Linked DNA regions of Macaca mulatta. The protein of the gene in region 1 purifies or fractionates together with the protein of each later gene. This does not show direct contact. Links are inferred from orthologs where the notes say so. Each region holds a gene or a part of one and is shown on either strand. Other genes may lie near its edges. The genes, in order: MED12 and VDR.

Region 1 (7,495 bases):
ATAATAGAGACCTCACTATTTGCAATGTCCATCCAGGTCCCCATTTTCAGTAAGAAGGAAGAAGTGTTTGGGTACTTAGCCAAATACACAGTGCCTGTGATGCGGGCTGCCTGGCTCATTAAGATGACCTGTGCCTACTATGCAGCAATCTCTGAGACCAAGGTTAAGAAGAGACATGTTGACCCTTTCATGGGTGAGTAACTCCTAACACCAGGTGTACGGCTGATGGCTTCAAGGAGGGATAGAGACACCCTTGCAAACATCCTCCTTCTTAATCTAGATTCCTTGTTTCTGCTTGTTTCTTGCATTTGCTTGATCAGTAAACACTGAGAAATTTGAGTGTCTACTGTGCACATATACTGGTCTACAAAAACGTCCAGTGCATAATCTCTGCCCCTAGGATACTAGTAGTCTAACAGGGCTGCTAAGGTATATGTACAAATAACATAATTAAATATAGAAGGTGGTGAATGTCAAGCTAGGAGCAGAAGGTTCTTTGAGTGGACAAAAGATTACTTTCTTATGGGGATACCCAGAAAGGCTTTAGGAAGGTGGGATTTGACTAGAGACAAAGGATGAACTGAATTTACAAATATGGTGGGTGATTGGGAGTGGGGTAAGGTATTCTAAGTAGAAGGATATTCTTTTTTTTTTTTTTTTTTTTGAGACAGAGTCTTGCTCTGTCACCCAGGCTAGAGTGCAGTGGCAGGATCTTGGCTCACTGCAACCTCCACCTCCCGGGTTCAAGTGATTATCCTGTCTCAGCCTCCCAAGTAGCTGGGATTACAGGTGCCCACCCCTGCGCCCGGCTAGTTTTTGTATTTTTAGTAGAGACGGGGTTTCACCATCTTGGCCAGGCTGGTCTCGAACTCCTGACCTCGTGATCCACCTCAGCCTCCCAAAGTGCTGGGATTACAGGCGTGAGCCACCGCACCGGCCAGTAGAAGGAAATTCTAAGCAGAAGGATAGTATCAAATAGCCCTTTTTCCCTGTTTCCTCCAGAATGGACTCAGATCATCACCAAGTACTTATGGGAGCAGTTACAGAAGATGGCTGAATACTACCGGCCAGGGCCTGCAGGAGGTGGGGGCTGTGGTTCCACGATAGGGCCCTTGCCCCATGATGTAGAGGTGGCAATCCGGCAGTGGGATTACACTGAGAAGCTGGCCATGTTCATGTTTCAGGTAGGGAGTAGGGCATGCTGTGTGGGGCATTAGGTTGAGCCTGAACTTGTACTCTGCCAATAGAGAACAGAATCTGCTTGCCACCTTGCCCCAGTTGTGGTTCTCTTCATCTTTTCATTTACTTTATCTGCTTCATCTCTAATAGTCCCCTCTTCCCTCCCCTGGTACCCATAGGATGGAATGCTGGACAGACATGAGTTCCTGACCTGGGTGCTTGAGTGTTTTGAGAAGATCCGCCCTGGAGAAGATGAATTGCTTAAACTGCTCCTGCCCCTGCTTCTCCGAGTAAGGCTTGGAATTTTGGTGGTGGTGGGGCAGGGGGAGTCTAAGAAGGATTTAAGGAAGAATAAAATGTCAGAGCAGGGTCCCCTGGAGAGAACTAGGGGCTCTGATGGTCATGTCTTCACAGTACTCTGGGGAATTTGTTCAGTCTGCGTACCTGTCCCGCCGCCTTGCCTACTTTTGTACACGGAGACTGGCCCTGCAGCTAGATGGTGTGAGCAGTCACTCATCTCATGTTATATCTGCTCAGTCAACAAGCTCGCTACCCACCACCCCTGCTCCTCAGCCCCCAACTAGCAGCACCCCCTCGACTCCCTTTAGTGACCTGCTTATGTGCCCTCAGCACCGGCCCCTGGTTTTTGGCCTCAGCTGTATCCTACAGGTAGGTACTAGGCGGGCCCAAGGAAGCATTGAGAGATAACCTGAGAAGAATTGGGTGCCCATCCCAGAGTATAGGGGTAATTCCAAATTGGATGTGGGAGTAGGTGCTGAGTACTTGCTTGGAGGTGGTGGTTTCTTGGTAATGGGGTGTTAGTCCCCTTTGGGGGTTTTGACCAGCCTCTCTCTCCCTTCCAGGGCTAAATAGTAGGCCCAGAGCCTTTTAGGAAAGTGAGTGAAGGGAGGGGATCGGGTGGAGTGATGCCTGTCTTGGGGGCCCAGTCAGAATAACTTTGGATCTGGAATCTACGGGTTTGGTCTTAGAATGGGATTCCAGAGGGGTAGCCATGTGAACGAGTTGGACTTAGCTGTTTCTATCTGGCAGACCATCCTCCTGTGTTGTCCTAGTGCCTTGGTTTGGCACTACTCACTGACTGATAGCAGAATTAAGACCGGCTCACCACTTGACCACTTGCCTATTGCCCCCTCCAACCTGCCCATGCCAGAGGGTAACAGTGCCTTCACTCAGCAGGTATGTCTGACCACTCGCCTGGTACTCTCAGATTGGGCTATGAGGCTAAAGTGCTCTCTCAGAAATAGTGATTTGGAGTCTGGTACTATTCTTCTAGCCTGGGGCTCTGGCCTTTTGTATGCCTTGGTACATCCTTATAGCCTTCCTTTTTAACATTGCAGGTCCGTGCAAAGTTGCGGGAGATCGAGCAGCAGATCAAGGAGCGGGGACAGGCAGTTGAAGTTCGCTGGTCTTTCGATAAATGCCAGGAAGCTACTGCAGGTATGTGTCGGAGAACAGATAATAGGAAGTATGTTTGAGGAAAGGATGGAGATAGTAAGGACATGTAGATCTGAGAGCCAGAATGCACTGGGCCTCTAGTTCAGTCCCCTTTACCACTTTTCCTCCTTAGGCTTCACCATTGGACGGGTGCTTCATACTTTGGAAGTGCTGGATAGCCATAGTTTTGAGCGCTCTGACTTCAGCAACTCTCTTGACTCACTTTGTAACCGAATCTTTGGATTGGGGCCTAGCAAGGATGGGCATGAGGTAAGCGAAAAGGGGAATAGAAGGAGCAAAAATCATTGCAAGAGCAATAATATATCTGAGGGGAAGTCATGGTGAGGCATTGAAAGCAGAGCATATCTGCAGAAATGATCTTACTGGGCCCAGAATGTTTTATGATGGAGTGCAGTCTTCAGGAAATTGGAACTCATTTCTTTGTCCCCACCCCTACCTTACTCCTCCCTCTCTTCCTTTGGTCTCCAGATCTCCTCAGATGATGATGCTGTGGTGTCATTGCTATGTGAATGGGCTGTCAGCTGCAAGCGTTCTGGTCGGCATCGTGCTATGGTGGTAGCCAAGCTCCTGGAGAAGAGACAGGCGGAGATTGAGGCTGAGGTTAGAGGGCAGAGATAAGAGAATGAGATTGGCCAATGGGAAGGAATTTACTGGGGTTGGAGACCAAGAGATGGAGGTGGTGGAGGGACCAGAGTTGAAGGTGTGAGAACAGAGGAAAGAAGTGGAAGAGAACCTAAAGGCAAAGTTACGGACATGAGGTGAAAGTAGAGAAGAGTGGATTGTTATCAGAATTAGAGATAACATCAAGGCTTCAGTTGGGAGGTGGTAAAGAAGATGGAGGTCAGCAGGGGAATGAAAATGAAAAGCATGGGGTAGAGGTCAAGCAGGTAGTAGTTTAAGGCCTACACATTGAGGAGTGAAGAAGCAGGTAAAAGTCAGTTCTACAATTTGTTCTGTCATCTTGCAGCGTTGTGGAGAATCAGAAGCCGCAGATGAGAAGGGTTCCATCGCCTCTGGCTCCCTTTCTGCTCCTAGTGCTCCCATTTTCCAGGATGTCCTCCTGCAGTTTCTGGATACACAGGCTCCCATGCTGAGTACGGACCCCTACCACTCTCTAGTTGCGTCTGCCTAGACTCAGTTACCCGCCACTGTCATCAAAAAGTATATTTCTCTCTTGGGCTCTATGCAGAATGACTTTTAGATGTAGTTCTAGTGATCCTCTTTAACTGATCATCTTACAGTTAAAGTAGAGAAATACAGAGAAGGATTAAAACAAGAGCTTGTGATTGAAGCATTTTCACTGCGTAAATCGCAACAAAGATATTACATTCCTTTCTGAGATGGTGTGTGGGGCAGCATGTGGGGTAACCAACCACGCTTTGTCCCTCGACAGTTTCTGGGATTTTTATTTTATCACTCCTATTAATTGCCTTAGGTGTGTCCCTCTCTCTTTTGGCCCACCTTTTTGTGTTCTCCTAACTCATGTTTCCTCATTCCCTTCCTCCAGCGGACCCCCGAAGTGAGAGTGAGCGGGTGGAATTCTTTAACTTAGTACTGCTGTTCTGTGAACTGATTCGACATGATGTTTTCTCCCACAACATGTATACTTGCACTCTCATCTCCCGAGGGGACCTTGCCTTTGGAGCCCCTGGTCCCCGGCCTCCCTCTCCCTTTGATGATCCTGCCGATGACCCAGAGCACAAGGAGGCTGAAGGCAGCAGCAGCAGCAAGCTGGAGGTGAGTGGGCTTTTCCTTGCCCTAGATCGTTTCTTCTGACATTTCTATCTTCATGGCTCCCAGAGGCCTCTAAGAGCGTCTTTTGCGTGGGGCAGGGGGGTAGTATTTTCTTAGCACTTGGTGATTGACCAAGCACTATCACATCAATTGTTTCATTGGTTCCTCCCATCAGCCTTGTGAGGTACTCTTGTCCCCATTTTCAAGCTGAAGGAAGCAGAGGCCTATACTGGTTAAGTGATTGGATGACTTGACTCCAGATCCTGTGCTTTCCACAATCTGGTCTTCTCTCTCCAATTCCCCCGTGAAGTTTTCTAGATGGTGGGAGCCGCTCCCTAGGGCTAAAGCAACTTTGCTTATGTTCTATGCCCTCAGGATCCAGGGCTTTCAGAATCTATGGACATTGACCCTAGTTCCAGTGTGCTCTTTGAGGACATGGAGAAGCCTGATTTCTCAGTAAGTTCAATCCTGAGCGTGGCAGAATCTGGCTCCTTTGATCTTCCCATTATGCCTGCGTTTGGCATTTCTTTACCCCCGCTCATCCCCTTTCCTTCTTCTCATGTTCTGCCTTCTCGCCTTTCTCTCAGTTGTTCTCCCCTACTATGCCCTGTGAGGGGAAGGGCAGTCCATCCCCGGAGAAGCCAGATGTCGAGAAGGAGGTGAAGCCCCCACCCAAGGAGAAGATCGAAGGGACCCTTGGGGTTCTTTACGACCAGCCACGACACGTGCAGTATGCCACCCACTTTCCCATCCCCCAGGTACTGTTCCCCAGCACCTGGTGATGATCTGTTTTGAACCTAGATTGCTGTCCAAGGAATTTGCTGAGGGGTTGGAGCTGTTCCTGAGGATGTGGGTTGGGAAAGGGAAGGGCTTTAGCATGTGGATGCTGAGGGATGTGGAGCATGATTTCAAGAGGAGGGAAGGAGATCGGTGCTGGAGTCTGATGGTGCTGCTGGGATGCAGGAGGAGTCATGCAGCCATGAGTGCAACCAGCGGTTGGTCGTACTGTTTGGGGTGGGAAAGCAGCGAGATGATGCCCGCCATGCCATCAAGAAAATCACCAAGGATATCCTGAAGGTTCTGAACCGCAAAGGGACAGCAGAAACTGGTGGGTTTGAGGCTCCTTAAACAGATCTCCCCCAAAGAGTGCCCTAGTCAGTCTTCCCTTCCCCAGCATAGGGAACTCCCCAGTCATGTCCCAATGTCCTGTCTCTTGGAGTCTCCTGAGAGCTCTAGTCCTTTTGAAACTTCCCCCCTCATTCCCCCCCTCTACAGACCAGCTTGCTCCTATTGTGCCTCTGAATCCTGGAGACCTGACATTCTTAGGTACCTCACAGTAAGCCCCATACTGCCCTCCCTCCCTCTCCCTTCCCTCCCTCAACCTAGCACCTCCCTGTACATATTCCTTTAAGGTCCACATAGTCTGTGGTCCTCTAAACCTTTGCTTCACTGTCCCCTTCCCTTCATTCCTCCCCCATCCCTTCCCTGACCCTCCCTTCCCTGTTTCCCTCTTCCTTCCTTCCCTCCCTCCCTCCTTCCCTCTCTCCCTCCCTCCCTCCCTCCCATAGCCTTCTCTCCATACCCCACTCCCTACCCCTAGTCAACTAGTTATCTTCCCTATCTTGACTGGTCCCTTTCAACTGTCCCCTCAGGTGGGGAGGATGGGCAGAAGCGGCGACGCAACCGGCCTGAAGCCTTCCCCACTGCTGAAGATATCTTTGCTAAGTTCCAGCACCTTTCACATTATGACCAACACCAGGTCACGGCTCAGGTGTGGGCCTAAGCCCAGCCCCTTTCCCACATTCTGGCCTCCTCTCCTGTTTTCCTTTTCTTCCCTATCTTCTCCCCGCTAGGCAGGCTAAGCCTCCTGGTCTCATCCCCTTCCACTGTCATCCTTTCCTGCTTCCCTGGTTCTTTCTTCTCTCCACTCCCGTCTCACTCCCACTGCCCTTATCAGGTCTCCCGGAATGTTCTGGAGCAGATCACGAGCTTTGCCCTTGGCATGTCATACCACTTGCCTCTGGTGCAGCATGTGCAGTTCATCTTCGACCTCATGGAATATTCACTCAGCATCAGTGGCCTCATCGACTTTGCCATTCAGGTGGGGAAGTTGGGGAGATGAGGGTGGAGGAAGGTGTTCGTGCCATATAGGGGCTATGGAGGGTCATAAGGACAGGGGTAAATGCTCCAGCCAGTTTCCCAGGCTATTTGAAGGGGCAGAAAGACTAGCACGGGGGAAGTGGAACATGAGCTGAGACTGTAGGAATAGAGACAAGTGCTCCCTGGGAAGGCCAAGAGGCAGATTAGAGCATTGGACACAGACCGTCCTCCCACTGTGGAGTTCATAGAACTGTATCCTGGATACTGGTTAGAGGTGGTGTTGATAGACTAAAGGACCGTGGCATAGGGTAACGAGCCCTTCTATCCTGAGGCGGCTCCAGCAGGAAGGGGCTCAGGCCCAGCCTTGCCAGCGTCCGCACAGGAAGGTGGGTTCTATGTAACATGAGGGGCCTCTTTGCATTTCTCACCCCTGTTCACTCTGCTAGCTGCTGAATGAACTGAGTGTAGTTGAGGCTGAGCTGCTTCTCAAATCCTCGGATCTGGTGGGCAGCTACACTACTAGCCTGTGCCTGTGCATTGTGGCTGTCCTGCGGCACTATCATGCCTGCCTCATCCTCAACCAGGACCAGATGGCACAGGTCTTTGAGGGGTAAGCAGGACATTGGAATAAATGAAACAAAGCTCTGGCGAATGCTGGTGGAAGTGGCCTGGGAAGAGCATGCACTTCCTCATACTCTGGGGAAGTGCCTGCCACTCAGATGGGAAAGGAATGGTATTTCCCAGAGGCTTGAATCCGTTTGGAGGAGCCCGCATACCATCTGCTGACCCTCCCAACCTTGCTTCTTCATGCAGGCTGTGTGGTGTTGTGAAGCATGGGATGAACCGGTCCGATGGCTCCTCTGCAGAGCGCTGTATCCTTGCTTATCTCTATGATCTGTACACCTCCTGTAGCCATTTAAAGAACAAATTTGGGGAGCTCTTCAGGTAAGAGCGGTGGAAGGTAAGGGGTAGCAAGTGGGACCTACTCCCTTCTTCCCATAACCAC
Region 2 (7,495 bases), on another chromosome or scaffold:
ATGGATTGGAACACAATGTGTGTCAAAACTCCAGGGCTGAAAGCCAAGGTCCGCTTATAGCCACATGTAATCAGACACAGTAGAGGCTAGTGGTTATGACCTTCCACTCCAGAACCAGACTGCCCAGGTCTAAATACCAGTTTCACCACTGTTAGCTGTGTGACTTTGAGAAAGGTAGAAAGCCTCTCTGGGCCTCAGCTCCCTCATCTGCTACATGGGAGTAACAATAGCACCTGCCTTAAAGGGTTGTCATGAGGACTAAATATATGAGTTAATATACAAAAAGCTCTTAGAATAGTGCCTCATAGATAGAAAAAGTCTATATGTGCTATCCAGCATTAAGAATATTTTCCTTTTATTACATCAAACTTGATCACCAGAACTTCTAGCTCCCAAGAGATCAAAAGTAAGTCTTAAGGGGTAGAAAGGCACACTCCCGGAGGCAGACACCAATAAGAAGAGACAACGCATAGCTTAACAGAGAGGTGGACACTGGAAGCAAGAAAAGTAGCCCAAGAACTCCAAAGCCCAGCACGCCGAGCCGTGCAACGCGGGGCATACAGCCTCCGACAACTCCGAGGCCGTAACCTTGTCCTGCAATGTTCAGTAATTATTCAGAATGATACCTCTGAATCATCAGGGAAAGGTTATATGACGTTAAAAGTGTTCCGTTACAAGGTTTTCTGTCTTGAAAATCTTTCCATAACAATTGTTTCAATAAAAGAGGTCAGCTTTGCTCAGCTCTCTGGTGTGCCAGGTGCCATTCCCTACATTGCAAGAGACAAGCAGCACTGGAGTACTCACTAGCCTTTCCTGAGCCAGGAAAATGATTTGCACACAGTTAGTGTAATCTGTGTGGATGCATTTGATGTTTGGTGCCAGACTATTGAGCAGACACCACAGCCAGGTAGCCCATCCGGTCTAGCCTTTATGGGGAAAATATAAGAATTATAAAACAAAGGCCAGGAGTGGTAGCTCGCGCCTGTAATCTCAGCACTTTGGGAGGCCAAGGCGAGCGGATCACTTGAGGTCAGGAGTTCGAGACCAGCCTGGCCAACATGGTGAAACCCCGTCTCTACTAAAAATACAAAAAAATCAGCCGGACGTGGTGTCGTGTGCCTATAAACACAGGTACCCTGGAGCCTGAGGCAGGAGAATAGCTTAGAACTCCAGGGAGTGGAGGTTGCAGTGAGCCAAGATGGTGCCACTGTACTCCAGCCTGGGTAATAGAGCAAGACTCTGTGAAAGGAAGAAAGGAAGGAAGAGAGAGAGAGAGAGAGAGAGAGAGAGAGAGAGAGAGAGAAGAAAGAAAGAAAGAAAGAAAGGAAGGAAGGAAGGAAGGAAGGAAGGAAGGAAGGAAGGAAGGAAGGAAGGAAGGAAGGGAAAGGAGGGAGGGAGGGAGGGAAGGAAAGAGGAAAGGAAGGAAGGAAGGAAGGAAGGAAGGAAGGAAGGAAGGAAGGAAGGAAGGAAGGAAAGAATTGTAAGACATGGACCCTGCCCTTAAGTAACTTGTAATCTAGAGAAAGAGACCTTGAACTTCTTGGGCTCCCTCCATAGGTAATGAATTAAAACCTGTGCTAACCATGAGTCTTACAGAGCAGAAGATAATTGGGTGTCAATGTGTGTGGGAAAGACTAAATATGTCACAGGCATAGGAAATGAGGCTCAGCAGAAGAAAACGAGGCTCGGTGCAGTTCAGGGCAATCAAAAAATGCTTCACAGAAAAAGATGGCTATGATGTAGGCACTGAAGAACTATAGAACTCATACAGGTATTGGGGAGAGGAGACCCAGCTGGACAGGCACCCAGCACAACTGGAAATGCAGGGGCAAGTATGAGCAGGCCATGTTCCCAGGCCAGCAGCAATGCCAGTGTGCCCAGAACAGAGGCTGTGTCCAGAAGCACTAAGACATGAAGTAGGAAAGTTAGTAAGAAGCCAACTTCAGTTTGGACGTGGTCAGCAGTAGGGGCCGGGAAAAGTATCTGGGCAGGAGAATGGCCTCACAGAATCACTGGAAAGTTAGCAAAGTCCAGTCAGGCTGAGCTACATGCCTGTAGACACCATGGTGTGGCTGGCAGAAACAGGCCTCCCTAACTCCTCTGGTCCCCAGGTGAGCAGGAAAGACAAGACACCTAATCTTGGGCTCCCCAAGTGAGGGCTTAGCCCCATTGCCTTCCCTGGATGCTCCCTGCCCCTTCCTCTCCCACCCTGCCTGACCTGGTAGGGTCTGTGCAGACACCCACTGTGGGAGGAGAGTTGGCAGCTGTTAGGGCAGGTGAGTCAGTCACCTGGGCGTGGTCTACTCCCAGGCTCCCCATAGAGGGAAGCATCATCTCTTGCAGTAACACTCGCTTTCCTGCCATGCCTGTGGCACTGGCTGTCCACTCCCACCCAGCATAGGCTCTTCCTCCCTCCCCACCAACTTATCTCGCCCTCCCCCTACCTGAGGGCCTGGGCCAATGGACCTTTCTCGAAGCCTGGAACTCACCCACCCTGGGCTTCTGGTTCCTTTCCCTGCTCTTGTGAAACTCCCCAGTTCTGTGGGCAGATGCCCTGGCAGCACCAGCACCGAGCAAGTAGCTACAGGCCAAGGGCCCCGGTGCCCACTCCTGCCATCAGCGCTCAGCAAGCCACAACCAGGAGGTCTGTTTGCCCAGCCGCTGTGCCAGGCACCTCTGCTCCCAGCATCCCCCCAACCCCCACAGCTACCCCAGCACAGGGAGGCAGGCACAAGCCTGCAGGTGGTGTTGGAGCTCTCTACAGCCCAACACCCTGATTAGTGGCTGTAAAGAACTTCCAAGATTAGAGCTGCAAGGCCTCACCCTTTGGGGCCTTCAAGAGGACTTGAAAATTTCCATGGACAGAAATGTCAAGGCTGTACAGGCTGGAGGAGGAGTGGTTTTGCAGAGAACCAAAGAGGCCTAGTCTTTCTATATTCCACAGTCCCATGTCTGGAAACTTGGATGTGGAGATAGCCACACAGAGGGTCCTCTCCACATCTCACTTCCAGCGCTGTGAGAGCTCTGGCATCCTTTCTCCACTCTGATGTCTCCTTCAGGTTCATGGAACATCAGGATAGGGGAGAGATGAGAACTAACATTTCGTGAGCATCTGCTCTGGGCCGGGCATGCATCCAGTTCTCAAATCAGTTGATCCTTTGAGGCAGGTGTTATTACTTCTCCCACCTGCATGTGAACACACACACACACACACACACACACACAGACACACACACACACTTTATGGAGGAAGGTACAAGAAAGTAACCTTGGAAGAGCTTATATGGTCCAAATCTCTCATTTTACAAACAAGAGAACAAAAGCCCAGAGAGTTTGCCCAAGGTCCCACGACTCATTCTTGAGAACCCCCGACTCCCTAAAGCCCAGACCATCCCGCCTCTCAAATCGTCTTTTTCTTCTTCTTGCGTGTACCTTCCTTTCCACCATAGCAAACCCAATTTTTCTTCACACAGTGGAGTGGGAGTCCCTGTGGCAGGAGGACCCCCGAGGGAGCCCCGAGTGTTAAAGCCCCTCCTATCTTGGACCTTTACCCACAACCACAGGAGGAAGGTTTTCTGGAGGAGCTGCTGGCTGGCCCTCCTGACTCCCCTTCCCACCCCACAGTCATCCTGACAGATGAGGAGGTGCAGAGGAAGCGGGAGATGATCCTGAAGCGGAAGGAGGAGGAGGCCTTGAAGGACAGTCTGCGGCCCAAGCTGTCTGAGGAGCAGCAGCGCATCATTGCCATCCTGCTGGACGCCCACCATAAGACCTACGACCCCACCTACTCTGACTTCTGCCAGTTCCGGGTATGTCTACCTGCTGGGAGGATGAATCGGTCCAGAGGAGAAGCACTAGTGGAACCAGGGCCCAGGGAGTAGGGACAGAGGGCAGGGGACATCCTGAACAGAACTGGGGTAGGGACGGAGGCTGCTCTGACTGCTGGCACTGAGAGGCTTCGCCTTTCCATAGACCTTCCTCAAAGCCATTCCTATCAGAGATCAGGGCCAAGGTAGGAAAATGACCCCAAAATGTGGGTCTGAGACCCCATCTTTCCCTTCCAGCCTCCAGTTCGTGTGAATGATGGTGGAGGGAGCCATCCTTCCAGGCCCAACTCGAGCCACACTCCCAGCTTCTCTGGGGACTCCTCCTCCTGCTGCTCAGATCACTATATCGCCTCTCCAGGTAAGCAGGACTTCAGTCCTCCATGGAGTAAGGGAGCGGGGGTGAGGAGTCCACCCCACCTGCCCTGGGGCTGCTGGATGGAAGGAGGTGGAAGGCTCCCTAATGGAAACTTACATACATACTGTGTGCCATGCAGTGTCCTCAAAACAGCCCGTCTGTTACAGAAGGGGGTGACTTGCCCAAAGGCCCACACTGGGGAAGAGGCCAAGCTGGGATTCCAGCTGTGCAGCATCGGGCTCCCGGGCCCATGCTTTTTCCTCTAAGCCAGGCTTCAGCCCATGGCCCCAGGTGACCTGCTTCCTTTAAGTGATATTTTAATCCTGGGCCCTTCAGAAGGTGAAATTTGGAGTGGGAAGGAGAATGTGTTGGTCCCATTGCAGCCCACCTTCCACCTGAGCTCTGGGGACCACTCTGGCCCTGGAGGACCTGTCCCCTCCAGCTCAACTGAGAGTCTGGGAGGCATCATGCTTTCCTTCCTTCCTTTTTTTTTTTTTTTTTTTTTTTTTTTGATATGAAGTCTTGCTCTGTTGCCTAGACTGAAGTGCAGTGGCACCATCTCGGCTCACTGCAACCTTTGCCTCCTGGGTTCAAGCGATTCTCCTGCCTCAGCCTCCTGAGTTGCTGGGACTATAGGCACGTACCCCCACACCTGGCTAATTTTTGTATTTTTAGTAGAGATGGGGTTTCACCATGTTGGCCAGGCTGGTCTCCATCTCCTGACATTGTGATCTGCCCCCTTGGCCTCCCAAAGCGCTGGGATTACAGGCGTGAGCCACCGCGCCCCGCCCATGCTTTCCTTCTTATGGCCTTTTTCTTACTTCCTCTTCATCACCCTGCCTCATCTGCCCCCTGCTCTTGTCCTTCCTCCCTCTACCCCTAACCTGACCCTGCTGTCCTCTGCTTGGGGTCTGCAGGAGGGCAGGGATGGGAAAAAACTTTCCCCTCCAGGCAATTAGAACCTTAGATAAAGCAGTTCCATACTCAGTGATGAATCTCTGCCCAGATCCAGAATAGATGGAAAGGGTCCCAGTGCCCCTGGACAGAGATACTAGTTAGAACACTTGCTCCCTGCATGATCAGCTGACCCTCCCAGCCCCTCACCTCGTAGGAATCCCTCCCACTTGTCACTTTTCTGTACTCACCTTCCTGCTCTTTTCAGTTGATAGCATATTTATTTATATCAATTAAGGCCAGTCTGTTTAATCCATATGTTGTTCTGTATTTCAGCTTTCAATAGTAATTCTATACTACTTAGGAGGCTTTTTGTTGTTGTTTTTTGTTTTTGCTTGTGTTTTGTTTTGTTTTGAGACAGAATCTCACTCTGTCACCCAGGCTGGAGTGCAGTGGCACAGTCTCTGCCTCCCCGGTTCAAGCCATTTTCCTGCCTCAGCCTCCAGAGTAGCTGGGATTACAGGCACCCACCACCACACCTGGCTAATTTTTGTATTTTTAGTAGAAATGGGGTTTCACCATGTTTGCCAGGCTGGTCTCGAACTCCTGACCTCAGATGATCTGCCTGCCTTGGCCTCACAAAGTATTGGGATTACAGGCATGAGCCACTGTGCCCTGCCTATTTAGGAGTTTTTTGATACCCTCTTGTAAGTTCACTGATTCAAGGTGCTTAAACCGCCCTCCCCACAAGTGGTGTGTTCAGTATAGCATATATTTATTTAAAAATTCAAACAAGTTAACCTTTTTATTTTTTAAAAAAATTATTATACAAAAGTAATACATGTTCATCTTAGACATTTGGAAAACATAAACTAAATTATATATATATATACTTTAATCCTGCTACCCAAAGATAATCACTATTAGCACTGTAATATATCTCTTGCCTCTTTTTTTAAAAACACATATGTACATTCAGAAAAGAAATTTTGCTGTATACAATCTGATGACTTGTTTTTTTAATATTGCATTGTTTTTCCTTACAATTTAGTATGCATCCAGAACATAATTTTTAAAGGCTGCACAGTATTTTGGAATACAATAATGTACCTAAATCCCCTACCATTGGATATCTGGATTATTTCCCAGTGTTTTAGTAAGACAACAGTATACTTATAGCTAAATATTTACACTTATCTGAAATTTTCCCTTACAATGAATTCCGGGAAGTGGGATTACTGGTCAAAGAGTACACACAATTGTTTCACTAATGTCAAATAGCTTTCTAGATTACCTGCAGTAATGTGCATCTCCTTTAGCACCCCAGCCCTCATAGGCATTGCCTATTTCCTACATCTTTATAAATACTGGCATCAGTATTTAAACATTTTTGTTTCTGGTTTATAGGTGAAAAGTGTAGATGTTCTACATTGCAGTTCTTTGATCATTAGCAAGGTTGAACATTTTTTTCCATGGGTTGATGGGTCCCAAATTCATTTCTGATTGAGATCCGTAGGAACAGCACATGGTCTGCTTGAGGAAGTCTCATTGCTCTGAGTGTCTCTGGCTCCTTGCTTTTACTGTCTCACGCTGCTGAAAGAGGCAGAGAGAGTCCCAGAGGGAAGCCTGGGCTGAAGGGTGACCTCTGGCATCACTGCGGGATTCCCAGCTGGCTCTCCTGCCAGGGCACACCAGGTCTTTGCAGGGGCTGGCAGGAGTGGTCCTGGTCCAAGTACCCTTAAATAGCTCCTTCTCTTCCCTCATCTCCCCCAGACATGATGGACTCGTCCAGCTTCTCCAACCTGGATCTGAGTGAAGAAGATCCAGATGACCCTTCTCTGACTCTAGAGCTGTCCCAGCTTTCCATGCTGCCCCACCTGGCTGACCTGGTCAGTTACAGCATCCAGAAGGTCATTGGCTTTGCTAAGATGATCCCAGGATTCAGGTAAGAAACTTCTGCAGTATCTAGGGAACAGAGTCAGAGTCCTAGACTGAGCTGTAAGAAGGGCTGGAGATCACCCATCCACCACTCCTTTTTTTTATTTTTTATTTTTTTAAATGGAGTCTCACTCTGTCACCCAGGCTGGAGTGCAGTGGCGCCATCTTGGCTCACTGCAACCTCTGCCTCCCAGATTCAAGCGATTCTCCTGCCTCAACCTCCCAAGTAGCTGAGATTACAGGTATCCACAACCATGCCCAGCTAATGTATGTATGTATGTATGTATGTATGTATTTTTATTTTTCCAGATGGAGTCTCGCTCTGACACCCAGGCTGGAGTGCAGTGGCGCTATCTCGGCTCACTGCAACCGCCACCTCCCAGGTTCAAGCAATTCTCCTGCCTCAGCCTCCTAAGTAGCTGGGATTACAGGTGCATGCCACCATGCCCGGCTAATTTTTTTATTTTAGTAGAGACGGGGT

The links.
Region 2: the proteins of MED12 (region 1) and VDR purify together in Homo sapiens (affinity purification with mass spectrometry; 3 studies listed by BioGRID, with this or other methods). This does not show direct contact. The link is inferred for Macaca mulatta from reciprocal best matches to the Homo sapiens genes MED12 and VDR.

What each region holds. Positions count from the first base shown.
Region 1 is NC_133426.1:77,584,816-77,592,310, forward strand, and holds part of MED12 (mediator of RNA polymerase II transcription subunit 12), read left to right. Parts: intron 1-36; coding exon 37-193; intron 194-1,002; coding exon 1,003-1,184; intron 1,185-1,358; coding exon 1,359-1,469; intron 1,470-1,593; coding exon 1,594-1,848; intron 1,849-2,229; coding exon 2,230-2,376; intron 2,377-2,537; coding exon 2,538-2,637; intron 2,638-2,767; coding exon 2,768-2,904; intron 2,905-3,123; coding exon 3,124-3,255; intron 3,256-3,622; coding exon 3,623-3,749; intron 3,750-4,162; coding exon 4,163-4,392; intron 4,393-4,764; coding exon 4,765-4,845; intron 4,846-4,976; coding exon 4,977-5,147; intron 5,148-5,352; coding exon 5,353-5,497; intron 5,498-5,664; coding exon 5,665-5,715; intron 5,716-6,041; coding exon 6,042-6,160; intron 6,161-6,346; coding exon 6,347-6,490; intron 6,491-6,935; coding exon 6,936-7,099; intron 7,100-7,302; coding exon 7,303-7,434; intron 7,435-7,495. UniProt on the Homo sapiens protein: Component of the Mediator complex, a coactivator involved in the regulated transcription of nearly all RNA polymerase II-dependent genes.
Region 2 is NC_133416.1:54,955,298-54,962,792, reverse strand, and holds part of VDR (vitamin D3 receptor), read left to right. Parts: intron 1-3,624; coding exon 3,625-3,809; intron 3,810-4,064; coding exon 4,065-4,185; coding exon of another isoform or gene 4,186-4,212; intron 4,213-6,822; coding exon of another isoform or gene 6,823-6,849; coding exon 6,850-7,021; intron 7,022-7,495.